Linked DNA regions of Drosophila melanogaster. The protein of the gene in region 1 purifies or fractionates together with the protein of each later gene. This does not show direct contact. Each region holds a gene or a part of one and is shown in the gene's direction. Other genes may lie near its edges. The genes, in order: Faa, bru3 and coro.

Region 1 (9,077 bases):
AAATTGAAATGTTTGGATGCCAACGCTCTGTCAGTTTACACATGGGGAAATTAATAAAAGAAAAAAAACGGATAAGTTGTAAAAGTTCAGTAAACTGGAAAATATTATTAAACTGTTTTTTTTTAGATTGTTTGCTTTGGCTTATACGAAATTTTAGTATGATAGTTTTTATGTTGGGTAATGTTTGCTGTGTTCTTTGGCTTGCAATTATTTTTTAATCATTACTTAGTGGACAATTTTTTTTTTCCAAGTGCATGTATTTTATTTCTGTGGGTGGATTTAGCCTTGTGGGCAATGGGATTTTAATCACACGACTTATGGCACTCAAGATGTGAACTGACAGACGCCGAAGGGTTCAAACTGGAGTATAGTGGAGCGGGGTAAAAATCCGGCAGTTGGACAGCTTCCTGATGGTGACTGAAAGCATTTTGTGATTCTTCGTGGGAGTTTTGCCCCACTCTGCACATATTTCACCCCAAAATCGAAGCTCGGCAAGTCGCAATTAGCTACAATAAATGAGCAATTTATAGAGCTCACAGAATGCGGGGTCTAAGGATTACAGGGCAAAACTTGTTGAGCCGGGGACACGGATTTCGAGCAGACTATCCGCTATTGATTCACCAGGACCTTGTACCGTCTGCCCTTGAACATATGCACTTCCGGCAGTCTATTCCTATACACATTCTTCTTCCTTTCGGGCCCAGTCAGCCGTGTTTTGGCCCGGCCTTTGTTTCACTTGCCACTGGCCTCGAATATATTTTTAATAAAACAAAAAACGAAAAACATTGGGTGGCTGATGGGGCGGGCGATGGGTTGTTGGGTGAAGGCAGAGGCACAGCTGCCAGGCACATCTGCTGTCAGCTTAGAATCACTCGGTTCTCCGGAGAAGCGAGAAAAGTCCCCAGAAAAGACTTGGAGAGACAGCCAGACAGCCGTGGCTAAATGGAAAGCATTTTCAGCTACATTAGGCAGGCACATACAAACTGTCAAAAGTATTACCACTGGAAATATTAATTAAAGTTTGGAATTCAAATTTAGAGGGCGGACTTACAAAATATTTGATGAAAGGTCTCTACTAAAAACATATACATATATTTTCTTTAACAATTTCCAGGACATCCCCACTTCTTCAATCAGCTGTCCAACGGTCTGGACCTGATCTCCATGGCGGGTGAGTGGCTGACGGCCACTGCGAACACCAACATGTTCACCTACGAGATTGCACCAGTTTTCATTCTCATGGAGAATGTGGTGCTGACCAAGATGCGTGAGATCATTGGCTGGTCGGGTGGCGATTCCATTTTGGCACCCGGAGGTTCCATCTCCAATCTGTATGCCTTCCTGGCAGCTCGTCACAAGATGTTCCCGAACTACAAGGAGCACGGCTCGGTGGGATTGCCCGGCACACTGGTGATGTTCACCTCGGATCAGTGCCATTACTCGATCAAATCATGCGCTGCCGTTTGTGGACTGGGCACCGATCACTGCATTGTGGTGCCATCGGATGAGCACGGCAAGATGATCACCTCGGAGCTGGAGCGCCTGATCCTGGAGCGCAAGGCCAAGGGTGACATTCCATTCTTTGTGAACGCCACTGCCGGCACCACTGTGCTGGGTGCCTTCGATGATATCAACACGATTGCGGATATCTGCCAGAAGTACAACTGCTGGATGCACATCGATGTAAGAACAAAACAATCTAATTGAGTAGAAAAAAAACAATAGATACTTAATAGTTGCAAGGATCGTATATTGTAATATTAATTACTAATTTTTTCTGATTTTTTCCAGGCTGCTTGGGGCGGTGGATTGTTGATGTCGCGTAAGCATCGTCATCCCAGATTTACTGGTGTTGAGCGGTAAGTTTTTAGAAAAATATATATTACATTTTTCAAATAATATTTTTGGAGTTGTAGTAGTTAAGTCCTAGTAATTTTCTAAGTGCGGTATACTTTTTATGTAGCAAATTAAGCCATCTTTTACTCCTTCAAGTTCCAGTGAGCTGCTCAGAAGTGCTTTAAAAACCCCTTGGAAAACCTTATCTTTTGTCCCAAGCAATTGCTGTGCCCATTCATCATCGTTCTTGACATGAACTTTGTGCCTTGGGCGCCCTCATCTTCAGGGCCAGTCAAAACAAAAAATTGAAATCTCTTTCCCGGTTTGGGTAAATTTAAATCTAAATGCTCCCAAATGGCCCGCATCGCTCGACTTTGCCGCCCCCTTTTGAAGGTCGGCGGCGTGCTGAACATGTGGGAAAAATCTCAATTTGTCATTTAGTGCCTCCATCAGGTGTTCAGAGCTTACAGGGATTACAATTCACAAGCCGAGTGCATTTTGGACCGAACAAACAAATGAACAAAGTGGATTTCCCCTTCTCCCATTCCCAACCAATCCATCTAGCCCAGGGGGGTGTTTTGGATGGCCATGGGCATTACTTACACAACAATTACGCCAAACAATGAATGGGCGGGCAAGTCAGGAATAGGGATTCATCCCCGGGGCTAGGAATTTTTAATTTTAAAGTCGCAACCTGAAATGCACTTTACTCCATCTCCAGCACGACCTACGTTTCCAACCCGAATCCATTTACTTCGGCAATTCATATAACATCTTTAATTCTACTCAGCATTTCGGGAAGCTTAGGCAAATGCGGCAAGTGCAGCTGTCGTGGAATCGACAGCTTGCGGTCAAGCAGCCGACTCCACAGAACACTTTCAAATTGATTGCCATCGACGGAGGAGGACTTAACATCCACTCCCGTTCCCATTTCGACTTCCTTCCGTCCATCCATCACCCAGGCGAACGCCTTCAATTAGTTTGAATGGATCCTAAGGCCCGAATTGTTGTGGCATGCAAATCGAGGTCCTTAATTGAAAGGCTCTCAGCGCGAATTAATCATTAAAATGCCCATGCAGCTGACAATTTGTGGCCTTCGGCGGCTTACGCAACTGATTAATGGTCCTTCGATGGAGGAGGCTCTTAAATCCGCTGAGTTTCAATTTGCGAACAAACTTAAAACAATCGAAAATCTCTTCTTAAAAGTTTAGCTTCACATGCCACCGCTCAATCAAATAAGCATTAGACGTCAAAAGTGTTACGACTAAATGATACTCCTCTAAGTTTGAAGTCAATCTACATTAAAGCACAGAGTTTCAAACTTATTTCAAATTTACTGCAACAAAATATTTAAAATACTTTCTTTATAAGTTTATGACTAATATTATAGTATTTAAATTATTTGTTATATGCTAAACCGTTAAAACAAACCATATACCCTTTTTCCCATAGCAGCAGACTGCTTGAAAAAGTGAAGCATACTTCAAGGCACTCCATAAGGATCATGTTTATAGACACCCACTCACTCACTCACACTTACAAGCCCAGCCCACACACAGGCACACACTCTCAGTGCCCACATAACTGTAAATAGCTCCCACAGGGATGTTTAGCTGTCAATGTCAACCCTCCAGTGCCGCAGGGGGTTGTCCTCGCTCTTTTGAATTCAATTAAAGTGCTGCGGCCTGAAATTGCCACAATTTATGGCACTTGCCAGGACCTTCCGCATCCCTCCCCCCATTAGATTTTTTTTTTTTGGAACTCTTGTCGAACAGCAGGGGGTGGGATTGGTGTCCTTGGGAGTGGGAATTGTACCGCAGTGCGGCAGCTTAGTGTTAATTGTTTGTAATTCGTAATTGAATGTCCATTTAACGCCGTGCGTTTAACTCTTGCAGTGCCGATTCGGTCACCTGGAATCCCCACAAGCTCATGGGAGCCCTGCTCCAGTGCTCCACGATCCATTTCAAGGAGGATGTAAGTATACTATTACAGAGATATCAATTTATTAAATCATTTATGCTAGGTGTTTTAACATTTTTTTAAATTTAAATAAAGTTTGGCAAGATTTCAAGGCTTAGAAAGTGGTAGCATCGATTTTGCAGAGCTTGTGGAATTTCGATGGGAGTTGTGGCTTAAGTCCATGTTACAAAAGTATGCAACGTACAATTTGTTCTGCAGCCCCACCAACCAAACGAAATTGTATATCCTTTACAGCTGTGACCTCACATTTTTCGTATTTTATTACCCAAAATCACTGAAATCATTGTTTGCAAAGTAATAAACGAATAATTGCTCTTTGAGTTGCAAATTAAAATTAAAGGCCAGCCTGTCGGAGGAGTCATTCCACCACCAATCCCCCCCGCAGAAACTCAAACCAAGCGATACAAATTGGAGGCATACCCCTAGCTCAACCCCATGCTTTAAATTCCTTTTCCAACCGGCCCATTCCCCCTCGACGGTTCACCCAAAATTCTTCTGGATGCACATCGAACAATGTTTGTGTAAAGAATTCCAATTGTACTCCGAACAATTCCTTGTTGTTTCGTTCCGTTCGTTCTGCCAAACCAGGAGCGAAATGGCCAAGGGTAGTCGCACACACAATGCGTAATGAAATCTTTGACGAACCAAATGCGCCAAGTCACCACCCTGGCTTTTTTACATCCCGTGCAATATGTTACCATCGGTCACAGTTGCGTCTTTTGGCAGGCGGAATTTTAATTAAAATTTCAGCTTGACTTATGGACAGCGGAGTTACGTCTGCTGCGTAGTGAGCGATTTCATCCCAAATCGATATGTTCATACTCGTATATCTATTGTACATCTTTCACGCAGGGCCTGCTCATCAGCTGCAATCAGATGTCGGCGGAGTATCTCTTCATGACCGACAAGCAGTATGACATTAGCTACGACACCGGCGACAAGGTGATCCAGTGCGGCCGCCACAACGACATCTTCAAGCTGTGGCTCCAGTGGCGGGCCAAGGGCACCGAGGGCTTCGAGCAGCAGCAGGACCGGCTCATGGAGCTGGTCCAGTACCAGTTGAAGCGCATTCGCGAGCAGTCCGACCGCTTCCATCTGATCCTTGAACCGGAGTGCGTCAACGTCTCCTTCTGGTATGTGCCCAAGCGACTGAGAGGAGTGCCACACGATGCCAAGAAGGAGGTGGAGCTGGGAAAGGTAAGATCGTCATTATATAGCGGTATAGTGCTAAACACTTTCCAATTATCCTTGCAGATCTGCCCCATCATCAAGGGCCGCATGATGCAGAAGGGAACGCTGATGGTGGGCTACCAGCCCGACGATCGCCGGCCCAACTTCTTCCGCTCGATTATCTCGTCGGCGGCGGTCAACGAGGCGGATGTGGACTTTATGCTGGACGAGATCCATCGCCTGGGCGACGACTTGTAAGGGGTTTCAGTCTAGTTTGGCTCGGCTCGTCTCGGTTCGGTTCGGCTTCGATTGGTAATGGTAGATCTCACACAACCAAGAAGTATCATTTAGGTAAAAGCATATCAGGAGACCGGCTGAAGAGCCCAGAGATCCGAGAGCCGGCGATTATGGGTATCCCGGTAATCATCAGAGTTCAATGTTGAATGTACATTTGTTTGTATCTATAACGTGTTGCTAGATGTTCCTTTACGATTTCTCATTCTGTTATCCGTTGACCGTTATTCGTTAAGCGTCGTTATCCGTTCGTCCCGGAGTTGGAAAAAAAAGTACTATGTATAATCGAGGCGTTTTACTTTTACGTTCGTTGGCAACTATATCTAAATCAATGGACGGCGAGAGGAGAATCCACAAGTTATATTTGAATATCTATATGTATACCGAAAAATAACGATAGAATTCAGAGCATAGAAGCCACCGCTCCACACACGCACCACCAAAACGAAAGACAGCCCCAGTCCCACACAAAAGTACTATGATGATATAATGATATATATGTATATGATATAGAAACTGTTGGAACGCTATCTTAACATATCAGGAGAAGATGAAGAGCCAGTTGAGGACCTTAGTTCAATTCGTTGATTTCACTTTGTTTGCAAACAGAGAATGTTTTCAAATATATCATATCTATAGCCATGCGCGTACCTTTATAAAAACAAGATCGAAAGAGACCTGTGCTTGTTAATTGTATAGACAAACCAAAGAGAGGGGATCTGTGCCGCAGAACCCATTTAGTCCATGTATCGAACTGTGCTATATATAGAGACGTGAATACGTATAATCGAATTAGTTGGAGTTTAGTTTCAACAAAATGGCTGACAAGTATATATGTATTGCCCGGAGTCAATTAAGCTCAATTACGAATGTTGGAAGATTCAGATTTTAGTTAAGTTTTAATCAGTTAGTTGTTCCAGAAAGGTTGGTAGTGAAATGTCCCTATATGAAAAGAACACAATCAGACATTACATTCTACCTGTGCACAAAACTCGTTTGTCAATTCCGCAAAAGTAAGAAAATAATGGCATAAAAACTACAATAAATTCAACAATTATAGTACTTTAAAGCGTGTTATCTAAGTTTATCCAGCACCACGCTCATTTTATGTATGTATAAATTAATGTATGTATATGTATTTGCAGATCCAAATCAATGCCAAACAAGAATTATTCCAACATCTATATAAATGCAAATGAATATATTATATATATGAATATATGAGTAAAATAAATAAAAGTAATCAAAGCGCAATTAAAATTTCTCTTCATTATGTCTAAGGCGCTCTTTACCTTTGGGGGCTTGGTTTTGCTAAGAGAGCCGAAAGATCTTGTGGTCTGAGCACCTATATAAGGCGGATCGTGAATAGAAAATCCCTCAGTTGTTATCTAGCTCACTCTGGCTCCGCGCACGCTTTTTCCGCTTCTCTGCTTCACTTTATTGATTCGCACCAACCTGCCCAAGTTTTCCACTTTGAGTGCTTTTAAAATGTCCCAGAGTTTTGTGCCAGTGCCAGAGAACAGCGATTTTCCGCTGGAAAATCTACCCTACGCTGTCTTCTCAACCGAAAACAATGTGAGTGATATCATACTGAAATCAAATCTTATATTTTTATGAGATTTTAGAACAATGGTCTCGCTGTTGTAAATGATAACTAAAGTGGTAAATGGCAAAGCAAATGTTCCTTTAACTCAGCCTGTTTTCCGTGTAATATTTTCAAGTTTTTCTTCAGTTTCATGTGACTTTGGATCGTTCCACATGTTCTAGAAATCAACTTTAGAACAGAAACCGCTTTGGGGCATAGCATTTGCATACATCATCCAAGACAAACTAGTTTGTTTACGAAAACAATATGCTAATCCAATCTTTAATACCCCAGCAACCAGGTTCTGATAAGGCCCCATATCATATATCGTATTTGTATATCGTAAATGGTGTTTTTCATCTTACCATCCGTAGAAAGTTCACCGTATTTGTGTGGCCATTGGAGAGCATGTCCTGGACCTGAAAGCTGTCTCGCAGTTGTTTCCTTTCCAAGTTCAGAAAAGCCTGCAGGCCGAAACTTTGAATGAGCTTATGGGATTGGACTTTGAAGCTTGGGATGTGGTAAGAAGCCAGACTCAAAAGCTATTGACGAAGGGTTCAGAATTGGACCACAATGTGGACTTGAAGGCGGTGTAAGTCGGATTTATTATAATAATTTATTATTCATAGTTAATAATTTATTTATTTATCAGTTCCATTGTGCCACAGTCTGAGATCAAGCTGCACCTGCCTGCACAGATTGGTGACTATACAGACTTTTACTCATCCATCCACCATGCCACCAATGTCGGCATTATGTTCCGTGGACCAGACAATGCTCTGATGCCCAACTGGCGCCATCTGCCGGTGGGCTATCATGGTCGTGCAAGTTCTGTGGTGGTTTCCGGTACTCCCATCCGTCGTCCTCTTGGTCAAACGTTTCCCGATGGAGCAGAGAAGCCCGTCTTTGGCGCCTGCAAGCTTCTGGATTTCGAACTAGAAATGGCTTTCTTTATCGGTGGTAAGGGAAATCAGCTGGGTGAACCCATACGCGTGGATGAGGCCTGGAAGAACGTGTTCGGTTTCACGCTGATGAACGACTGGAGTGCCAGGGATATTCAGAAGTGGGAATATGTGCCACTGGGCCCCTTCACCGCAAAGAATCTGGGAACCACCATCTCCCCTTGGGTAGTGCCCACAGCTGCCCTGAAGCCCTTCGTCTTGGACAACTTTCCTCAGGAACCGGAGGTGCTTCCCTATCTGCGCCAGAACATTCCCTTTAACTTTGATATCAACCTCGAGGTGTCTTTGAAACGTAAGTTGCCGCCTGTTAAAGATTTGTTACGTTAATTCACAAAATTTCCCCTTCTCAGCCGCCGATCAAAACGAAGCGCTTATTTCAAAGTCGAACTTCAAACACCTTTATTGGACTCCACTGCAGCAAATCGCTCATCACACAGTCACCGGTTGTAATCTGCGTCCTGGTGATCTGATGGCCTCCGGAACGATCTCCGGTGAGACTCCAGACTCGTACGGATCACTTTTAGAGCTCTGCTGGAAGGGCACCAAAACATTGGAGCTTCCGGGTGGTAAGACCAGAAAATTCCTCCAGGACTTTGACGAGGTCATCATCCGTGGCCACTGCGAAAAGAACGGACTGCGAATCGGATTCGGGGAGTGTGTGGGTCAGGTGCTGCCTGCCCACCCCGTTCCGCAGTAGGACCACTTATTAACATAAGTAAATGAAATAAATTCTATTCAGTCTTCCTGGATACGTCAATACATTATGATGTTCGGAAAACTTCAACTTTTCGTTCAAAAGCATACTTTTTGGGATAAATGGCCATCCATAGTAGCGTATACGTAATATTTTTTCTCGGTGCACAGTAATAAGCTCAACAAGTGCTCAACTCTTTCGCTCTCTCGCTACGATGCCTTGCTCTCTTTCGTTTACACAACTCTCGCTCCAATCGGAGCCTCTGCCATTCCACGCAGCTTCGTAAATACGCGCACGCCGCTTCTTCTTTGGCTGCAGAGAAGAGCGGAGAGCGCCAATGGGAGCATAGCTGAGCGGAGCAGCAAACCGCATTCATTCCTCGAAAGTCGGCGGGCGAAGGTGGGCGCGCTGCGAAAAGTCAAACGGCAAAACGGCAGAAAGGCAAAACGGCCCGCCTATCGGGCAAACTTGTTTAAAGTGCCATAAAAAAGCCTCTAAAAAGCGTAGAAATAAAAAAAGCTGCCGTGCAGCGCAAAGCAGACGCGACTGGCGCCGG
Region 2 (9,585 bases), 9.7 Mb from region 1:
CAGTGTGCTTGAATTGAAGTTAAGAGTTGGCGTCCCATAAAAATGTTGATCACATTTTATACACTGACCTATGGTCCTGTCTACTTCCGAGGTCCTTTCTGCCTGTCCACACTGAACCTTTTAAAGTTGTCCACCCATGGACTCACAATAAGTTAAATATGTGTGAGTGAGGCAACTGCTGCTGATTCTCCCAGGCGCTACAGCCATTATTTCTTCCACTTGCGCAGCTTCCTTGGCCAGCATCTTAGTTTCTGTGGCCGTATATGTGTGTGTGTGTGTGTGTCTGAGTGTGCTATGTGTGCCCAGCTGTGCAATTGTTGACACCCACAGAACACAGAGCCACGTACACGTGCAAAGGGGCTTGTTTTTCGATACAGCAGCTGCAGCTGCCGGCTTGAAACGCTCCATTTGTGCAGCCAATCGCTACAGGCGGCGGCCTGTTATTTATACCCTAACCAAGCTGATGGAATAAGGATTATTAAGGATATGCTAAAATGAAAAGTAATTTGAACTGACCTTCGGAATGGAAATTGCGCCTTCAAATTAATTTACCCTGTGATAAAAGATAACTAGAAGAGTGTATTATTTGACTTGAGTCTAGCAGAAAGTGTACTAAAAATTCGTATAATAGCAAACGTATTTTCTTAATATACATTAGTTTGCCCCCTTAAGCTTGTGGTTCCAGAGCCTGACTGCCTCTCGCGCATTGAGTTCATTACCCCGTTGTGGTTAAGAAGGAGTGGCGGGCTTAGGCAGACTAATGTAATATTTAAGCGACAGAAATATTCACAAAAAGTTCAGCTTAATCGCAAGCTGCATCTGTTGCTATACCAACTTTTGCCTGGTATTTAAGTAAGGCATCAAAATTAAGCAAAACCTACGGAGTCTGCCCGAGGGAAGCCAAGCCCAAAACCACTTATTGCCAAAGTTTCGGCAAACTCCTTCATTTCATTATTGATTATTTCCAACCTTTATTTTCTACGCTTTATTTTGTTACAATACCCAGTTCAAGTTCCTCAGCTCTGAACTCTCTTTTTATGAGTACTTTAAAACTCCTCGAGTTCCGCTGACTTTTACTAACTTTGATGGCAGAAGCGCACGGATGAAAAGATTTGTGACGATTATTAAAAATAATTTTTTCCCCTTTTTGTGGCATTTAAGTGAGTAGCTGTAAAAATCTATAACGTTATTTTGGCGAGAAATAGAAAATTGGCAAAAATAGTATTGTAGTTGACTAAAGACGAAAACTTTAAAAATACCAAAATTGTACCCACATGTAAGGAACAAGACGAATTGTAAAGAAGCATTTAAGCTGACTTACAAAACTTAATGGTGCCAGAATTGCCAGGGCCTTTGAGAGGATTCTCTCTGTTTAAATCGTTCCACAGTAGTGTGATCTAAGCTTGTTTTGGTCCTTACAATATAGCAAATGTCGTCAAATCCATACACAGAAGTAAACATCCACAAACACAGACACTTATGGGCAGACCCAGAAAGCCACGGGCATTGCCTTCTAAGTCTCGTCCTTTTTTTCCACTGTTGTCCTTTTTATTTATCTCGCTTGCTCATTTTTGTGTTTTTGTTTTGCATTCTCAACGAGGCCAAACCGCACACACACGCACGCCCCCATGCAAATAACGCCACACACACACACATATACACCCATACACCCACACACATACACGCGCACACATAGACATGGTGAATGAGAAGAAGACAAGGCGTGACAAGTGCAGGCTTCATCCGAACGTGCCCTCTGCACTCAGCCCCTCCACCACCTCTACCTCCTCCCCCGACGCCTGTCAAGTCAACACCCTTCTCCGCCCGCTGCCATAACCAAAAAGAGGAAAAACTTTAACTAGATGCATATATAAATTGCGTTCTATATATTTATGCCCCGACATATATGCAAATGCATCATGGCTGCGCGGCAGTGGAGGCACAGCTTCTATTAAATATGCTTATTATGACACAAGCAAACATACAAACTTAATGTTTATTGGGTTCTTGGCGTTGGGTTCACAAGAGCAGAAAAAATATTTAATTGATAAATTCAGCAACGATAGCTTTACTGGCTGATTTAAGTGGATACAATTAAAACTAGTTTCTCTTTCTCTATTTGCGCAGTTCTTTCGATTTATTTGTTATAATTAAATTAATATGATTTATTTTAACCGATTTATTTGCACACAAAAAATAGTGTAAAAATTTTTTAAATATTGAAAAAAAAAAAACGTATAAACGCTAGTATTTCGCAGCTTTTTAAATTTGCCTTTAAATTGAGCTTCTGATTAATAGCGCCTGTTTTTTATGCCGGCAAAGTCCTTCCTTTTTTGTGTTAAAGATATCCTCTTCCATTCTCATCTGGTGTTTTCGATGTTTCTCCCTTAGGCTTTTTGGCTCATCTTAACTCACAGCGTTCCTTTTTAGTTTCACTGTCTCCATTCGTTTTGCCTTCCATAAATAAAATAAATGTAGGTGAAAATATACATAAATAATGGGCACAAGCGCGGCTTTTTTTATGAAGTGTTTGAATGTGCGAGTGTCAACCCAGGGCACTTGAAAGATGGTGGGGAGGGGGGCTTGTGATGGGGGCGACGTCTGTGAAAATTATAAAACAGACGACGCAGCCATTCTGGCGGGGCAAAGATATTATGGCCTCTGAAGGCTGAGAAGGGGACCCCTGCCATGTAGGCGTGTGTAAATAGCAAAAACCTAGTCGGGCGTACACAAGCCAAGTCATCATGGAAAATGGCTAAACAGGCAAAAGAATAAGGGCCAAAGAAGATAGAAAGATAACAGAGTGGAAGGCATGACAAATACGTTTTCTCTGCCTTTTTTTTATGGCATATACATATATGCCCCGAGGTAGTGGGACGTATAAAGTTTGACCTCCAATCAATAAATCACATTAAAAGGGGATCTTTCAAGAAATGAAGAGAATGACAATGGACAAAGATGGCCAATAACTGACCCATAATTGTTCATTGTCACGTCATTGTCCGCGTCAGTTGCTCAAGGCACATGAGAATAGTATCCAGCAAGAAATGTATTTATTCTTGGCCTCTTTTTCGTTCTTTTCCGCTAATTATTGTGTAATATTAATCTTATTAATAAATAACAAGGAATCATAGTATCCATATACTAAGAAACATCTCTCTAATAGCTAAGAAGTATCCTTTTCTTGTCACCTAGATCTCGCTTTTCTCCGCAAGCTAGATATACAGCCCAAGTATCCTTAATAAACACCGCACCGATAAATGACTGTTACTCATAGTATTCACCTAGAAAGGATGATGTACTTTTCCCCGAAATGAACACTTCGCCATTAAATGGGTGAGGAGTATCCTTTTTGTATCACTTGGCTCTGGATTTTCGCCGCTTTTCTCTCTTCATTTTCTTCTGGGCCAGTCAGGTCTCATCATCCGCTTGCGCTTTTTTCTCAGCTTTTGGCTTGATTTCCTTTTTTGTCGCTACAGCCAGAGTCCTTTTGCTCCGCGCTTGCCTTTTACTAGCCCAGACTGCGCCCACAAAGACGTGTACATATATGTGTTTTTCCAGCTGCCAAAAGGCTGCGCTTGGCTTCTTCGCAGCCAGTGTTTTGTTTTTGGCTTCGTCAGCCAACTTTAGCTATTGACAGACCTTGCCACCTCGCGTCCATGTCCTTGCTGGAAAACATTTCGCTTTCAGCGCTCATTTTGCAGGATGTCGGGAAAGTGATGTAAAAAATATACACAACAATTTCAAGATATCTTCTGTGGCCTATACTGCGTGCCCAAAAGCCATAATTATCACGCGTTCACATGGCGTATACGAGATTTTGCTGTTTCGCGTTTAAACTCTTAACCGAAATTTATGCTTTCGCTGTTGCTAATTGTACATTTTGTTGCTCTTGCTGTTTATAATGTAAAATTTATTGTGTTTGTGCATGTTTATTATCGCCACGCCGTTACGCGCCCTCATATGGATTTGTAACACGCCCCCCTACACCCCCTCTTTAAACATCACTGTGCATTTATGTTTTACAGCGTCTGCAAAAAATATTATCAAAAGTAATAAATGAATAACAAAATACAAAACAAACGCCATCAATAATTCATGGGAAAAAAAACAACACAAACAGAAATAACCAAAAATAAAAGCTTGCGGCGCGTCGTTCTTTAAATATTTTATAAATTAATTCTGCAAACAGCGTAAGCGAAATTAAAAAATACAACAAAAACATCAGGAATTAATGTAGTGCCTAATGCAATGTGTAATAAAACCGTGTAGACCAGGAGGTGCGCCAGATCATTAAATACCAGCAAACACTGTTAGGTGAAAAAAAAAAAAAAATTATGAAATACAAATTTATATTTATTATTGAATAAATATGCAGAGTAAATATTACATATGCTAACCGTGAAAACAAATTGAATTATACAGCAAATAAAACAACAAATACTTTTCGTCGTGTTTTCGAATGTTTGGCTATTAAAGCGCTTACAGCTTAATTGGGCGTTACAAAGTGGTAAGTAAAAAAATAAACACTTTTGATAAACAATTATTTTTGAAAATATAAATTATTAAAATGATTTTAGTCAAAAGTTTCATAGAATAAGAAGATGCTTTACATATTCATAGTGTTATATTTTGATATATGTCCGTTTCTCTTTTTATTTTTTTAGCCCACATTAATCAAACGACTATCTCAGTAAATTTGCACAGTATTATTATAGTTTAATTCATCGCACAAAAGACTCCTTAATCTTTCATGCAGCGATCTTTTAATATCCTCTAACTATTATCAAAACATATCAAAAATTGTAATTAAGATACCATTGCATTTCCCTTGGTAAATATATCACAGTTTTTTCTAATTTAAACACACGTACACAACGTCGTTCATGGCTTTATCAGCCAACTTTGCTGATTCAAAGATATCTGTCGACCCTCATCCATCAACAAAAACCCAACCACAAATGTCACATGCAAATTCGGTTCGCCTTGTAACGGAAGTGCAAGCAAAAAATAGCGAAAGATTTTTATACATAACTTTTTATGCTACTCATTGTTGGGAGCAGAAACTTCAACCTCCTTCCAACGGTTTGAGGTGGTGCTTGCTGCACTTTTGCGGCGAGGTGAGCTGTACGGGTGTGTGCACGTTTTTGCATTTGCACCACTTTATTTCAATTTTATTCGCCATTTTCTTCGTTTGCGTGGTACATTTCCTGGGGACGAGACGCAGCAGTGACTTTTGCTCGGCAGCTGACTCGACTCCACTTTCCGTTTACCCTGGGCTGCCCTCCTCATTACCCTCTTTACATTTCTAATTACACGCTCATTTTAAACTTGAAACATTTGCAAACGGATGCCTGGGTCTGGAGGAGTCTGCGATTTTCAGTAACAATTTTCCATTTCCCATGCCATGAGGCTGCAAAAATGTTGGGTCACAAACGTAATAGACCAGATTTTCCTGTGACTGCTAAAGAAACCTAGCTGGCCGACCACAAATGTCTGGCATCTAGGGCTTGATTTGGAGACAAGTCTTGCATTTGACAATTTTCTTTCATTTTGGGGCCTGAAAACATTTTCCTACAATGTTCTCAATATATTCCACTATTTTCGAGTTCATTTTAAGACCAATTGATATTACTAGTAGTATTTAATCTTAAATGTTCGCTTAGGGAATAGTAATTTTTAATTGCCGTTTTTATACTTAGAACACAAAAAGTAGACACTGTAATTTGCGAACCCTGGACATACCAAACGCGTTTTCGTTTTGTTAAGTTACTAAAAAATTAAAACAATGCTGCATGTCCATTTTGCATGTGAGGAAACATTTGGCGCGCAAGTAAATGTGCATGTGGGTGAGATGGTTTTTGCCGTTTCTAGACTGCTCTTTGTTTGAGTTGTGTTTTAATTTCCATATTACGTGCTGGCCAGAGATTTATCAATGCGATTTATATAAGCCATAATTTCTCCATTTCACCCAGAAGTAAGTTAGTAAATTACTGCAATCGCTTGCAACATCAATGGGTAAAATTTAACAGCAATAACCTTACATAAGATTTCACTATTTTCCTTTTTTTATAATAGTTTGAAAAATTTATATTATTAATTGTTTAATTAGAAATAGAATAAGTATGGATTAGAAAGTAATAATGAAGTGAAAGGAAGCGGCGTTGACTTACGTTGCCATTTGACCTTTTCAGGCCCCTTGAAGGGCAATTCTAACACACTGTCTCTCTCACAGGAAATGTTTATAACATGTCCTCCTTTGACAACTTATTCAATGAAAAGTTTCAAATAGTAGCTTATGAATAGTAAAAGAAAGATTATGAAATCTATTGGTAAGCGTTTAAAATGTAATTGAAATATTGCTCATACGCAGCATGTGCCCATTTATTGAAACTGGAAAGAATGCCAAGTTGGTTCATACCCAGTTGGCCCAATCAGGCCAATTCAATGACATAAATCTTAAGGCAATAAAGCAAAGAATGTCGCAGCATGAGACTATTATATTGTGCATACTGAGCTGGTAAAGCAAATCTCGTAAATGTACTAATATAAAATTGGTATTAATGGGCTGTCGCCTTAGGTGAAATTACCTTTAAGAATAATTGTATAAACAAGCAAGGGGATAGGAAGTTTAATAAGAAAGTATAAACTTTATAATTGAGAAAACTATTTAAGCCTATTTAAGCTTTTTTTATCTAACCTTTATCTCAACTTTTTCCGTTCTATGGTTCTACTTTTGCGTCTTTAAATTTAGCAATTGCCGCACTTGTAGGAAAGTTTCAATTATAAGTCAGTGTGCCAAAAATTGTTTCACAAACTCTAATTAATTTATAGTGCTTCACAACTCGTAGCTTAAATGGTGCAGTTGATAAATTGGCGAGATAAAATTATAATAATGCTGATGTGGAAATAAAATATGCAAAATACTTATTGTACAACTCGTTCCTATTTAATGATATCTTTTCTCAGTTACTATTAAATATGTTAATCTGCGCAAAGCGGCACTAAAAAAAATACACCAACACGCAGGTAAAACTGAAAATACCTTTAAAGAAAACAAACTTCAGCGGCGCTATCAACTGCAGATTTCGCTGTTGGTATTGCCAATTTAAGCGAAAATTAAATTGGAATTTGCAATGAATATTTGAACAAAAGTACACAGACCAGAGTGCGGTAAGCGAGCAGTGGTAATGGGATCGAAGCGAGAGGATGGGCATAGGCTGCATGAAATGAACACAAGTGTTGAGCAAAGTGAATGCGTAATGCGTTTTTGCACCCGGAACAGGACAGGACCACCAAAAAAAAAAAAAAAAAAGTCGGACGCTGTCAGTCACCCAGGTCCGTAATTTGCAGCCCGGGTATTCCGCTGAGTTGTTTCCTCCGGTATATGTGGTTTTTCTTTGATATCCTAACAAAAAGGATGAACTCATCAGAAAAGGATTTGTAGCTCTTCAGAAATAATGATTTCACATGCTCGCATTTACAAATACCACTTTTAATATTTATTAAGTCTTTTATTTTAGATGTTCTCTAATGTTTTGGTCCTAAAAAATTAAGTTCTGTACAGCACGCTCTTAAAGAACAAATAGAAAAAACGTTGGGCGCCAATCTTTCGTTTACATGTTAAGATAAAGGCTTAATCTATAATATATATACGTCACAAAGCTTATATTATTCCATAGACGATGTGAATAAGTTTTGAAATGAGTTTTCAATAGAGGCCTTCAAAATCAGGAAGTTGCTTTCTGATTGAGTGAAGCTTGTTTGGTAGGTCTCTGAAAATGTGCACGCCTGCCCAGAACAAATCCATTCCTTGATGTTGACCCCTTTAGATCGAACGGCAATTGCAATGGATTTGATTTTTCCATACTTTGCCGTCGAGCGTGACATCCACGTAGCCCTTCACGCTTCTCCCGCTTCCGCCCTTCTGTCACATGTGAAATTGGGCGGCTGACATGTTTGCCTGTGTTTTTTTTTTTTTTTTTTGCCACCACCTCCCGTTTTTCCATTGCTCATGTTAGAGTAGGTAATTTTTTAATGCATTTAAACGGCTGTCAAGTGGCCCACACACGCCACTTCGCTTCTGAAACCGCTCCACATTGCCTCCGTGCCCCATCCTTTGCCCTTTGTTAGCAGTTTTGGAAAGTGACGCGGCGCGAGCAGTTGCCCAAAAATATGCAAAAACCCGCGAGCACTTACGACAAGCTCGTTGCGAAGGCAGGAGGACTATATCAGGTTGCGGCCCTCAACAGCAAAGCAAAATTTAGACATTCAGCCTACAGTTTGGTGTTCAGTTTTCATTCACCGAAAAGTGAAACCAAATAGAAAAAAAATGCTTTTTCGAGGAAATAGCGCACAGTCGATGGGTAGTTAGTTGCTTGACGAAATTCGTTCATTGTCCTGTAGATTAGGAGAAATATAGCTACAAGGCTATGTCTAGTTGTATCATAAACAACAAGTCAGTTGCAGGATTGTTATGTTTGCAAAAATCAATAAGTTAATAGGAAATGGATCGGCATTGATAATACACATGCTGCTTGGCAGAACATCTAGGATTCGTTGTAAAACGTGCTTTTATTTCCCTTTGTTTTGAGCACTCACAACGTTGGCTTGCCTGTCGGAGCAGAGTCAAGTAGAGGACATACAAAATTGAAATAAAGTACAAACATGTTGCCAACTTTTTGCACAGCAGCAACAACAACAACAATAACCACTGTCTGTCATTCAGTCTGTCGGTCTGTGGAATGGTTTAGGCCCATAACAACAACAACAAACAACAACAACAACAGCGACGGAGAGCGAGGCAGGAAAAAGTTTTAACTGATTACGTTTGCTGTTGATAATGTTGAGTGACATTTGGTTTGCGTATTAACTTAAGTGAGCGACAGCAGCTGTCTGTCCCCCGCCAACTGAACGCATACACATACACACGTACAAATGTGGAGTGTCCTGGATCCACCCACGGATTCACCCCTTTTGGGAGCTCTCCGGATTGCCAGGAGGTTTGTATTTCAATTAAAAAATTAATTTTTTAATGTGACCCGCTGATGGGGCTCTGCATCCCGATGAATGGCAAATGCTTTTAGAAATTAATGTGGACGAAAGAAAGCCAACAATCGAGTTGGGATGAATTATATGTTGGTATAATGAATTGTAAAAGTTATTTATGCTGGTATCAGCAGCCATACCATATAATCAGGATTCAATAAAATCGTCAAGCTCTTTTTTACCCTCCACCTGGCTCAAGTAATTGTATACATTGGCACTAGAATCGCTCAGGTTGTATTTTTGTCGCGTTGCCAAATTCAAATATCTTTTAAGTCCTTTTTGCCAAGCCAATAAACCAGCACTTAACCGCAATTACCCCCCGTTTTTCGGCAAACAAGGGGGTCGGGCAAAGAGCAGCGTTTTTTATGCCACTCTTGTACTCGCAACCTCTTCTTTATCCTTTCTCCCAGCCACCCCAAAGCCCCCCTCTGAATGTGCACTGCAATCAGTCTTCATTTACACTTTGCACCTGGGGCGCTTGGCTTGCCGTTAGTCTCTCAACTCAGCTCTCGGTTCCCAAGGCCCACTACGTAGTAC
Region 3 (12,907 bases), on another chromosome or scaffold:
TTCGGTTGCTCCCCAAATGGGTTAAGAAGCGAAACTTAGCCAACACCAATTAGTGACAAAAATATGAGAAATGCACTGGAATGAAGCACACACACATACACATTCGAGTCCAAACGCCGATCGCGTTTATGCGTCAGCCAATGTCGCGATTACTCGGCGAACAACAGCTGTTCGACGATCGCAAAACAGGCGCACGTATGAACGCCAGTTAGACTGGCAATGGACACGCCAATTGGCGGCAATACCTCCGAAAAGAACTAGGAAGCACGTAATTTTGGGAAGCCACTGCTTGAATACCCTTTTGGATAGAAGGAACATCTGAAGTTGGAGTTTTACAGTCCACCCACTAATATTAAATTAAGAAATTATCATCATCATAGACTTGGAACCGAAAAATATAGATCGCTAATAATGCTTAAGAAAGCCCAAAACCTTAATTTAGAATTTAATCTACAAAACCTACATAGGGTGATTTATCTATTATTTCTAAGCCATATCTGGATAAATTAACTTTTACTTGACTACACCTAGAATAAAATTAACCTTGATTTTAGGAAACCGTCATTGATTCAAAATATCTCCACCCATTTAAGCATCAGTGTACATTAGTTACGGATTTTTCTTTTTCTTGTAATGGCAACATACATATAAAGAAAAAAAATTTTCTTGAAAGCTTTTCTAAAACCATTGATTTAACTTTTCTAAAATGAATATTACATGGATATCTCTAGACGTAAGAAAAGTCTTCTTTGTTCAATTGCTCGTCTTTATAGCGTTTGAGAATAAAAGGTGATTTTCTAAAATCCCGGGATAATTTTTTCTCAGTGCTTCACGTTTCACATTAATCAGGTAGACATCGTTTTACCTGGAATACGCGTTCAGGGCTATAGTTAGGCATCGAATGTGTAATTCTTAAAAGGGAAAGGTACTTTTATTCGCCCATTCGGTCTCAAAAAAATCCATGTACTTTGAATTTCTAGGGTGCACAGGCATTCACAATTGCCGCCCGGTCTGACTAAGCGCAAATGGAAAAATAGAAACAAACGGATGGCGGTCACAGTGGGGGGAGCTGGGGAGAAAAAGAACGAGCGGCAATTAAGACAGCAACAAAAGCCAGCGCCACTTGTGATGGCGAGGGGACGTGATGGGTGTCGGGTGGGGCACTGCATATGCATGGGGTTAATTTTAGCAGCAGAGTTCCACTTTCACTCGTACAGCGACGACACCCACTGTGCTGCAAGCCAGTGAGTCTGCCGCGACACTTGCGCGCTTTTTGTCAAAAACTTTGGCTAATCGCCGTCAGGCACGCACACTCTGCAATCAGTTTGATGAACCTTCAACACACACACGCCTGTGTGTGTATGTGCATGTATATGAGCTGCACAACCAATGACGTTGCGCCTGCATCAATGACATCATCATCATCATCATCGCCATCAACCTCACCATCCAGTCGAGATGAGGCGAACGGCGAAAGTTTCCAGTGCAGCCGACAGCCGATAAACAGCGGGCCCCTTATCAGGGGTGACTCATGCATGTGGCATTGATCATTGGCCAGCTGATTAGGTGTCGCTGCAGCTGTGCACAGGAAGAAAAGATACCACGAGTTAATCAAAACCAAGCCGCGCAACGCAAACATATATGTATACAATGTATGATGCCGTATTGATAACACCTGACTGAGCTACAACTGGTCTGATATCTTCACGTATCAAGACAAAGTTTTAATCCATAATTATATAGTATTAATTTTGTTTTAAACCACCTGCCTCTATGTAATTGTGGTGACACGTTAAAGGGAAGCACTTGAGTTTACAAAACTCCATATCCAATAACTCTACACATGAGTTAAGCGGAGTATGTTTAATACATATTTATTAATAACAGTTTTGTCTATACAAGAATGGTTTTGTGCCCTATGCTTTAGGAAAAGTTTGAACTATCAGTTGTAGCTACTTTAATCCGGAAACCATGATGGCATGTGGTCCTACACATTTAATAGATTCTTTTTCGAGTGTACTTGGGGAATAGAGATGTCATTATAACGGAAGTGGCCGGTGAACACAACGTGTCGACAAAGCGGCAAGATTTGCAATCAAGCATTAAGTCAATTCTCGGCCAGTCCCCGATCGCTGGACCATCGCATTCGCATCAATTCAGCGACGGTTGCATCTCTCGCGATTTCAACACAAATTGCTGGAGGGCCCCACAACAGCCCCATTGTCAAATGGTTAACGCGATTACAAGACAGTCGCTGCTGAAAGTTGGTTGACACCCGCTGGTTAAGTGGCGTGCGGATTAGTTGGTTACTTTTCAATAATGATTCAGCAACAGCCTGTTTCTAATTCTGGCAGAGACGCCTCCTAGAACCAAAATCTGACTCAGGACCTTTTTCAAGACCTTTTTCAAACGGAATTCTATTAATTCTAATTATACTATCAAAATCATTATGTTATTTAACCCCATTTCATTGTTATTAAGGTATACATACCTTTCATTTATAGAGAAGTTTATTCTGATTCGTCGAAAACGTTGCAACGATTCCGACCCTATGAAGAATATATTCCTGATCAGAATCGCAGGTTATAGGTAATTTCCGAATGTACTCAAGCGAGTTTTTAGAAGAAAAGAAAAACACTGTTGAACAATTTGAGAAACTAGTGACGCTCGCACCTTTGACATCTATTGTGAATAAATATAATACTAGACTTAAACACAATAACTAGGTAGATTGTGGACTTCCATCTAATGTGAGTTTTGAAGATCCGGTACTAATTTGAACCTTTGACTTAATTTCCTTTCGAATATCTTCAGAAACAGCCTTACATTTGGGGCCCACTGTAAAGAATGGAATGCAATGTGATGCTGGGTATTCAATCACACCACCCGGGTAATGGGCGTCGGGAATGAGTTCTTCAAAGATTTTCATTTCTTCAGCGATTTTCTTGAACCCACACTTCCGTTAATCGCTGAGTGGTCCGCTGATAAAACCACCGACGGTCAAGTTGATTAAGCGCAGAAGAGGCCACTTTTTTGGCCATTGCGAGCGGAATTGCGAATGCAATTATGATCGATCGGGGAAGTGGGAGTGGATGGGGGTGGCTCGACTATGATAACTCAGGCATGGCAGGTGCCAGCGATGCCAACGAAATAAATAAACACATCAAATGCGATTTACAACGCTGCTTTGAGCATCGTGCACTGTGTTTGTATATGAAAATTTCATTTCGCCTAAGATGATTTAATTTTCTATTAATAAGTTTGACCTTCAGCCGCGAAACAAAAATTTTCCCGCCTGCAAACGAAGGTGTTTGGCATATAAACACATAAATAACAACGCATACACACGCCGCAGATATATATATATATATATAGATAGATATATTCCGGGTACAGTGCTTAGGAGTATTTTCCAGTTGGTGGCAAACATTTCGGCGTCGTTTTGGACTACATAGGCGTAGCACTTAACATTATCTCTGTGGTGTTTAGCCAACTCCGAGCTGATATTTCCTTATCAGTGGAGAGGCCATGTCGATACCCACACCCACCCAAGAACAAAGCCCTCCGGGGCTCACCTTGTGGCCAAAAACAGACAGCGTAGAAAGTAATCAATTCTGGGGTCTGCTTTGGGGCCAGTTTAAAGGGGTCAATGACAAAGTTTAGTGCTTGCAATAAATATGAATATCTTTGAGCAAAACAAAACGAAGCAACGAGGCAAAAGAGGCAAATAATTTTATGGCACTTCTCTGATTAAAAACGAAAGCTGTTCGGAGTGGAAGCCTGCCGGGCTCGGCCCAACCCAGAAATGAATTCTGCTTCAAACACGTAGCTATCTAGAAGTCTCCCGGAGTGTTAGGTATATGTTTGGGCTTAGGTTGGCCTGCGGGATCGGTTTGCTCAGCCATAACTTACGTGTTGGAAGGCTACTCATTGCTGGAGTGGCTATTTTGGCGTTATGATGTCATCCTGAAAGAAAGGGGTATGGAAAACTGATAGTTCGACACGTTCCGGCTGGCGCTTCATTAACGAAAGTGGACCCGAATGTGGCAGTTGCCAAGTGGCAGGTGAAAGCGTTCTAGGCGCCTCCCGCCGTTTCCGGCGCTTTCAGTCGCCAACATTAGTGATGCCATAAGCAATTTGATGCAACCTCTCGCGGACAAAGTCAGCGCGTCAATAGCAAGCTGCGAATGGAAAGCTCATTGATTTTCGCAACAAGCGAAATTAGCATATGCAAATTTATTGAACTAATCGAGGCTGCGAAGCGCGGTGAAAGAAAAACGCGTTAAGCTAACACATAAGTGAGCGAAGCTGAAAGCGAATAACATTGCTATTCGGTCGGTTTATGCGTCGCTCAGAACTCGGATAAGGCTAAGATCACGATTTTCAGGTTTCACAGAACTGTGTAGAAAACAAAACCTATCAAATGAGTGTTCAAATCTCTGCCAAAAAGTAGGGGTTTCATATCTCATTCAGGTGCGGAAAGAATACGGCTAAACGATTTCGCTTGAAGACTTGTTATTAAGGGCAAAGGGTGGAAAATACCAAACGCGTAAGAAATTCCCCTACATTGCTAACTATCCTTCGTACGTCTCATTTCTTTTCAGAGCTAGACGTAGAGAAGCTCAGGACTGATCGCTGACCCAAGCCACTGCAGCATCAAGATGTCATTTCGCGTAGTGCGCAGCTCCAAGTTCCGCCACGTCTACGGACAGGCTCTCAAGCGGGAGCAGTGCTACGACAACATACGGGTATCCAAGTCCAGCTGGGACTCCACATTCTGCGCGGTGAATCCCAAGTTCCTGGCCATTATCGTAGAGTCGGCGGGCGGCGGAGCCTTCATCGTCCTGCCACACAACAAAGTGAGTGCGCCACCGGACCTATTATAGTTGCACTCGTCTACGTGCGTCTGCCCCGACGCGGCCAGCTTGGTGGGGTATTTTTAAACAAGACAATGGGCAACTATTTATAGCGCCCTTTTGGCATAAAGTTTGCGGCCATTTGCGGGCTTGTTGCCACGTCGCGAGTGACGTCGACGGATTTCGCATGACTCCACCCAATCTCACATGTGTTTATAAATAGTTATAGATTCTGCTACTACCGCGGCAGCGATACTGCTAGCTGGCGCACTTTTGTAATTTGGCCACTAGCCAACATGACAAACAAATCGTCTAATTTTAGAGAGAGGCAGAGGAGCAGCCAGTTAAATGAATACAAAAATGATATTCGGGCGAATCATTGCATCGAAATGCACACTCAGCTCGGCGACTTATTCCGCTAAAAACTAATTGTTTGTATTCCACTAAATTGCATTTTCAATCTCAAAATCTTTTGGCCGTCCTGCCCCAGATTCAGCTATTCGGGCTTCTGTTTAGTTGTAGTTTTGCGCGCAGCTCCAGCAAATAGTGTGGGCAGCAGAAGCACCCATTCCCCTAATCTTCCGATGCTCCTCTTTTGATGAAAACATATATGGAAGTACACCGATGGTCGTTCCATTTGAAACAAAAATTTGTATGCAAAACGCGCGGCAAGCGATCGTTTTTTTCACTCTAAGCAGTTGCCGCTTTTTTAAGTGATGATTTCTATGTGGAGCGGCTTTCACACGCCCTATTTTACTTATTTTATGGGCACTGGATGATGAGTGAGATCCATCTAGTCGCCAAGGTTGGCCGCATGTGGCAAGTGTAGGCAAGAACAAGCACAAGTTCTTGAAAAAACCAAAATAGATTTACACTCATGGAACTCATTCGAGAAACTTTTTGGAATGATACATTTTAATACATTTATTGAAAGCGATGAACAAAGAATATTATCTAATAATATATAACAATGTTAAATTTGAAATAGTTTACCATTACTATTTGTTATAATATGCTTCGAAATATATAGATTTCGATGGGAGCTATTCGGCATTCCAATTTTCTATAATTCTAGGGCCATATTCGGAAGCAATTGGCATGAAGTTTACAATTATAAATTGCCTGCTTGGCAGATTAGCGAACATAGCAGAACCGAGTGCAGTCGGAGTCGGCTATAAATAATAATTCAGGAATTGGGCTAATGGGTCGCGAGGTTGCAGTTTTGCAATGGTTGCTGCTCATGACTTAGTCGCCATCAATTATAAAAATTTACTGTGGCGTATCGAGCTAATTGAAATTTAATGGACTCTTTCAGGTTGGTCGCATTGCGGCTGACCACCCTTTGGTGGGCGGTCACAAGGGTCCTGTGCTGGACATCGCCTGGTGCCCCCACAACGACAACGTGATCGCCTCCGGCTCAGAGGACTGTGTGGTCAAAGTGTGGCAGATCCCCGATGGCGGGCTGTCGCGAACACTCACCGAACCCGTGGTCGACCTGGTTTTCCACCAGCGTCGCGTGGGTCTGGTGTTGTGGCATCCCTCTGCGCTCAACGTGCTGCTTACCGCCGGCTCCGATAACCAGGTGAGCGAATGCTAACACTTCTTCAGAAGCCCATGCTTATACTCTCTGTATTGCGAAGGTCGTGATTTGGAACGTGGGCACTGGTGAAATCCTCGTGCACATCGACTCCCATCCGGACATCGTTTACAGCGCCTGCTTCAACTGGGATGGCTCTAAGTTGGTTACCACCTGCAAGGATAAAAAGATCCGCATCTACGATCCGCGCACTGCCGAGCTGGAGAGCGAAGCCATGTGTCATGAGGGCTCCAAGGCCACGAGGGCCATTTTCCTACGTCACGGTCTGATCTTCACCACAGGCTTCAACCGTAGCTCGGAGCGTCAGTACTCCCTGCGCGCACCGGATGCCCTTAACGAACCCATTGTCATGGTGGAGCTGGACACGTCCAACGGCGTAATGTTCCCTCTTTACGACGCAGACACGAACATGATCTACTTGTGTGGAAAAGGTGACTCGGTCATTCGGTATTTCGAGGTTAGTACAAGTAAATCTACAATATTACATATGAATATTATCTAACCAAAATCTCATCGAACAGGTAACGCCCGAACCTCCTTTTGTGCACTACATAAACACGTTTCAGACTACAGAGCCGCAGCGTGGTATTGGTCTGATGCCCAAGCGAGGCTGTGATGTGACCACCTGCGAGGTCGCCAAGTTCTATCGCATGAACAACAACGGTCTGTGTCAGGTCATCTCGATGACTGTGCCGCGCAAATCGGATCTTTTCCAGGAGGATCTCTACCCCGATACGCTAGCGGAAGACGCTGCCATCACCGCGGAGGAGTGGATCGATGGCAAGGATGCGGATCCGATCACATTTTCGCTCAAAGTAAGTGGCTAAGGTGCAGAAGCAGCTCAGACTTTTATTCCGTGTTGCGAATACAGCGCTCGCCGCCGAATGCGGCAACGGTTCGGCCACACTGCCAACCATTCCGCCGGCGATAAGAGCGTACAAGATATAGGATATATATCAGCATGTGCGCCAGCGGGGCTTGTCCACAGATGGCAATGCGGCTCGAAGTCGATGAGGCAGTCGCTGCCACTGTGGACGCCCCTTCTACAATGTATTCCAACGGCTTTTGCAGTTGCTTTTGTCTGCTAGCACAAGGACTCCAAGTGAGCTACTTGTGAGTTCCGTTTAAAGCTTACTCCCAGCATTTGCCGGTGGCTACCTACCAGCGTGTGATGCCTGCGCTTGCTTTACTTACGTTTTTTCTGCGTTATCTACGTTTGTGCCTTGTCCGCCCAGCCACATTCCACTCCAATACACAGACTACAGTCCTCGTTCTCCGTTGTACAATGTCACTTGAGACGAGGCATCTTAAGAATGTTTTAGTGACGACCGGAATAAAGAGTATTCACAATGATCTAAAATGGTTTAGTATTCTAAATGTTAGCTAACTTATTAAAGTCTCCTATTGGATACAGTAACACGCCGCATAAATGCACACTTGGCCCTAACACGCACGCGAATGCGCGTGGCGCTTGTCGTTGTGTTCATTGTTGTTTGTTGTGTTCTGAAACGAACAGATTTTCTTACCCGCCTAATCAGGATCGCGTTTCCATTGTACAGGGTGGCTACGTGTCCTCGTCGGTAAACAAATCGCTACCAGCGAAGAAGGCGGGCAACATCCTGAACAAGCCTAGAGGCGACAGCGCTAGCTCCGGTGCAACGAGCAGCAGCGCGGGCGGCGGCAACTTTGCGTCCGGAAATAACAATGAGGCTAGCGAAGGTGGACCGCCTGCAGCGGTTTTATCGGTGAGTACTTGCACTCCTTCAGCGGTTGTATGATTAACTTATTGGTTCACTTCAAAAGGAAAAGGACCTGCGCACCATACAAGACGAGATCCGCAAACTTAAGGCGATCATCGTCAAGCAAGAGAACCGCATCCGCGCTCTGGAGGCCAAGGAGGACGCCCGCAACAAGAATGGAAGCGATGCTGCGCCGGCTTCAGCGGGAGCAGCCACGTCTGACGGCAAAGCCAGTGAAAGTGCCAACGACCACGCGTCCACATCAGCCGGAACGTCAAAGGACGAGGACTAGGTCTAGCAATGAAACGAGGACTGAACTGATAAAAATGGGCGGAATGGATTGGAGGAGAGACAGAGAACTGCTTGTAGAAGCTCGTAGCTACGCTTAATTTCTCTATTGCAACAAAGCGCGCTGAGGACGAATTGAAAAAGAACTTATTGTCTATTACCATTATGGTTTCGATTATTTATTTTTTATAATTTAATATTAGCGAAATCAGTTGAGTGCGGGTGTGGCACAGATAGGGTTAGAGAATGCCGAGCTAAATCATCTAATCGAACTTAAGCGAGCATAACCGAGCAGACCTGGACGCTTAACGTATAAAACATAACATAAAACTACATCCTGCCAAAAATATATAAAAAACCTAACGAACTACCTACATTTTGCGCCCAAAATCAAGCAGAGCGAAGGGCAGGTACTCGGCCCTTTGATCGGCTTGTTGTTACGCAAGTATGAAATTGTTGTAAATTTAACAAAGGCAAATCATAGACTAAACCTCAATCACTTAAGAGTTAACACCTACCTACCAAATTTGTACGAGCTCCTTTCTGTAACGTCTGTATATTTGTACGTCCCGGAAGTTTTCATGACAATAGCTGATAGAATCGATACTGTTCATCCTAGCTGAGGCCCCCTTAATCAGTCACATTTCCCTGCAAATTGTCGTGTCAAACATAGCGAATTTAGTAAGAAAGTGATGGGGGTCATCGGACTTAATTCGTTTTCGTAATCAAAATTTTATTGTTCAAACTAATGATAAGCTGTATTTTGAAATAATAAGAGTAACAATAAATGCAACAAAATCAGAAAGAAAGTAAGAAACCATCGAAACTATTTTTATAAAAATTTGTTTACTTTTCTTTTCTTTCATTTGATTTTACTTTCATTAGTTTTGTTAGAGAACCGAGGGCGAGAGCAGCGTCATTAAACACCTACCGATTTTGTAATTCACAACCATTGTAAAATGAAGACTATATACATATACATACATAAATACTCTATATACAAATAATTTACAATTTGATACGGAATAAAACAAAATACAATGCCAGAAGAAGTTGGGTGCTAATAATGGAGGTGTTTCGTATCTAATTCTTTTCGTAATGTGTGTTCTTTTAGCAGCATTTTCAAATATGTAGATGTTAGTCGACAATGGAATTTTTACCAGCTGCACTTTAAACTAATTGACAACTTTTAATTGCAGAAATAAGCTCATCCATGCGTTATTCATTGCCGAGCCTATGTGTTCGGTTCAATTGAATATGCAAATTCGTTTAATTTTGCCTAAACAGCTTTTGAGCATACTGCCGATGTGTTGTGTGTAATTATTACCTCAGCGAGCAAACCAAAAAAATGCAATTACAATTTACGTGTACAACGATTCTGACATTTTAATTAAACTTGGCCAAGTGCGCTTTTGTGGGTGGCGCGTGGCAATTATGATATAGTGTGTTGCCGACCAAGTTGTTGATTTAATTAAAATTATGTTTGTTATGCAATTTGACTCACTGCAAGTTTCAGCGATTATCGGTTGCAGTCGGTAGCTGTGGGCCATCTTGGTTAGCCAACAGTAAAGGCCATCTAGCTGCTCTAGAGCAACCAGACGTGGACTTGATATTCGGAGTTCAACATTAAATACTATCAATTATATTAAGTAAGTTCGATCAAATTATTAACTGAGTCATAGATGCATTTGTTAACTTTGAACTAAGATTTCGTTTTTCAGACTGTCAATAAATTTCAGCCGGCGTCGAGATGTACGAGTATTTCAGTTAGTAATTAATCGTAACAAACTTTCAGTACTGGCTTAAAGTATTCCATTTGGTAATGAGGTCTTGAAAAAAGTTAACAGTCGGTTTCGGATTAGGGTAATGGAATTTGTAAAGCAATGATAGCTAAATGTGTAGGTTGTTTTATTTTTAGCGCTTTACTTGTTTAAAGACCCAATGCACAGTTTCCTCCAACCCTTCTCCAACTGTTCATAAAAAAATTATATGCAAAGGTGAAGGGTTCTTCCCTAAATAAATGTTCTATTCTACGTGGCTTTTGCACGATGTGATTAGAAATGTGATCTGGCCGTCAAATGGATGAATTAAAATGGCCATTTAAGAAGTCATTTGTCAAGTGATGTATCCATTCTTGAAATTGCTTGGTAACTTGTTTAACATTTGGCTTTCCTACCAATTTAAAAGTAACCTTCAAAAAACCAGCTGGACATCACCTAACTTTATGAATTTCCAAGGACAATTCATTACACTATATGCACTTACTGCAGCATTAGTTGTCAGTACTGTGATTATCCTTGGTAGTAACTTGGGTAGTACATTTATGCAAAAATTACATTGATTGTGCATTCTTCAGTAATCCAGACAGATTGGACCAAAGCCGCTATCAAATCAAGTTATAATCATGACTTTTGATGGGCCAGTAGATTATGATGCCCGGCGGCAGTAAAGGCCAAGCCTAATTTATGTCTACTTCCGCATCCAGGTAAGTTTACGGCCTTCTATTAACATTAACGCTCTACGATTGTCGAAACCGATGGAAGGCATTTGTTAATTAAAAGCAAGCAGCAAATGTGCCAGGAGCAGAAGGACGTGGGAACACGTGCTAAATAAATACTCCTTGCTAAAGTTGCTAAGTACCAGCAGAGGTATCGCCTCTCCAGGACCTCAAAAGGACCCCCACCGAACCCCCTTGACGGCGGCTCTGTCGTAAATTCACGCGGCCCGTGGCTTTGTTTGTGTTTGCTTGCGTGCTCCTCGTCCTGTTAATGCATAAAGAAGTATACGCGCGCACAAAAGGAGCCGTCAAAACATTACTTTCTCGTGTCGGCGGCTCGTGTTTGGGTATTTGTTTATTTTCGCATGAAAATAAATGCGTATAATGGCGGAAGTTTATGCCTCGTAAAGAGAAGTTAATTAGCTTTCTGGAGTATAAAATTTGTTACGCACTCTGCCCTTGATCAACCAACCACATCCCATCATACCGCCGCCGTACGTTCTCAATAGCAAATTGAAAATTTTCCAATAACACATCCAAATATATGCCCACAGAAAGTTGGCCAACTTTCTTCACCCTTGACTACTATTGCTGCACGAGTGCAGTGGGAAAAATATTGAAGCTACGTGTTTGGTTATTGGTAAAGCAAAGTAAAGTATCGTTCCTCAACAATTATAGTAGACTTTGGCGACTTTGCGGCGCATTTCGTTACTAAGTTAACTACAGTCCACGGTTCATTCAAAATGTACAATACATGCCCATGGATGATTTGCACGAGGCAAATGACGGTATAGGTTCTATAATGCTCTATTCTCAGATTACCATAATATTCACATAACTTCAGGTCCGTTGTCGCCAAATTTTTGTGTCAGTGCAGCTGCTGATCCCTTTGCTGCTGCGGGACAGTTGATGTGTTAACTTCGTGGCTGGTCGTCCCTTCAGGTGAGTCTTAAAGTCAAACTGGCGACGTGTTTGCATCTGTGCCGCACAGGCAAATATTTACGGCATGCTTGCTGGGAGGATGGGCCATAGTTTCCGGCGCAGACAAAAAGTTGTGTTGAGGGACAGCCGACATAGGAGGACGAAAGTTTCGCAAAGGCCCACGCAACCCAGGAACATGAAAATAGTTTTTCTTCAGCCACATTTATGAAATGTGCACCGCAGGGTTAGTTTGAACGAGTGTCTGTGTGTAGAATAACTTTCACTTTGTCGAGTGGGTAGCGGGGTGGGGGTAATGGGAAAGAGCTGGGACTAAGCGGCTTAAAACTTGCACTAGGATGCCCAAAAGTGTCGGGCCAGCAACTCTCGCAGGACAGGAGACAACTGCCAACTGCCATTTTTGGCAAATATTTGCACAGATAATGAAAGTGCGCCCCATCCTGGAACATCCTGGATCGACTGAGAGCGTGTGTGTGTGTGATAGTTGGCAGTTGGACAATGTGTTGAATTCAGTTTGCCGCCTCTTTTGGGTTTCGATTTTGTTGACAATTCACTTTGCAGCGGTAATTGACCCTAATGCTGTTGCTGCCGATTCCGCTCGGCTTTCGCCTTTAAATCGATATCACTTTTGGCAGCTAAATTCAATTTGGCAAAGGAATCGCACACACACACTCCCCGAGATGGATATTGCACGTGCCTAAATACATTGCAAAAATGTCAAAAAGCACGTTTCAGTATTTTGTGATTTCGCCTTTGCATGTCATGTGTCCCAAAACAAAACTTTGAACTCCGGAGCTGCTTCCCTCCCGCCTCCAGTTGCCAACTACGTGACTACCGTGCAGCACTTGCTCTACCAATAAATGTCGAGCTGAGATGTGTGCGCCAATGGTGTAAGGACGCGTGCCAGCCAGAGTCAAAACAATCCCATCTAATTCAATTACAATTATTCAAACATCGATTTCGGCTACAGATGCTGGCCGACGCAAGCCCA

Evidence for each region.
Region 2: the proteins of Faa (region 1) and bru3 purify together in Drosophila melanogaster (affinity purification with mass spectrometry, with the first as the bait; one large-scale study listed by BioGRID). This does not show direct contact.
Region 3: the proteins of Faa (region 1) and coro purify together in Drosophila melanogaster (affinity purification with mass spectrometry, with the first as the bait; one large-scale study listed by BioGRID). This does not show direct contact.

What each region holds. Positions count from the first base shown.
Region 1 is NT_037436.4:4,071,532-4,080,608, reverse strand, and holds Faa (fumarylacetoacetase), read left to right. Parts: upstream 1-6,654; 5' UTR 6,655-6,768; coding exon 6,769-6,855; intron 6,856-7,239; coding exon 7,240-7,457; intron 7,458-7,517; coding exon 7,518-8,119; intron 8,120-8,177; coding exon 8,178-8,524; 3' UTR 8,525-8,577; downstream 8,578-9,077. Other genes in the region: Gad1 (glutamic acid decarboxylase 1), read left to right, coding at 1,115-1,683, 1,792-1,859, 3,732-3,810, 4,669-5,013, 5,071-5,244.
Region 2 is NT_037436.4:13,792,949-13,802,533, reverse strand, and holds the start of bru3 (bruno 3), read left to right. Parts: upstream 1-4,006; 5' UTR 4,007-4,510; intron 4,511-9,585.
Region 3 is NT_033778.4:6,858,639-6,871,545, reverse strand, and holds coro (coronin), read left to right. Parts: upstream 1-3,750; 5' UTR 3,751-3,979; intron 3,980-4,021; exon of another isoform or gene 4,022-4,064; intron 4,065-4,405; exon of another isoform or gene 4,406-4,549; intron 4,550-4,604; 5' UTR 4,605-4,661; coding exon 4,662-4,859; intron 4,860-5,661; coding exon of another isoform or gene 5,662-5,679; intron 5,680-6,171; coding exon 6,172-6,438; intron 6,439-6,496; coding exon 6,497-6,910; intron 6,911-6,974; coding exon 6,975-7,268; intron 7,269-7,991; coding exon 7,992-8,198; intron 8,199-8,256; coding exon 8,257-8,484; 3' UTR 8,485-9,286; downstream 9,287-12,907.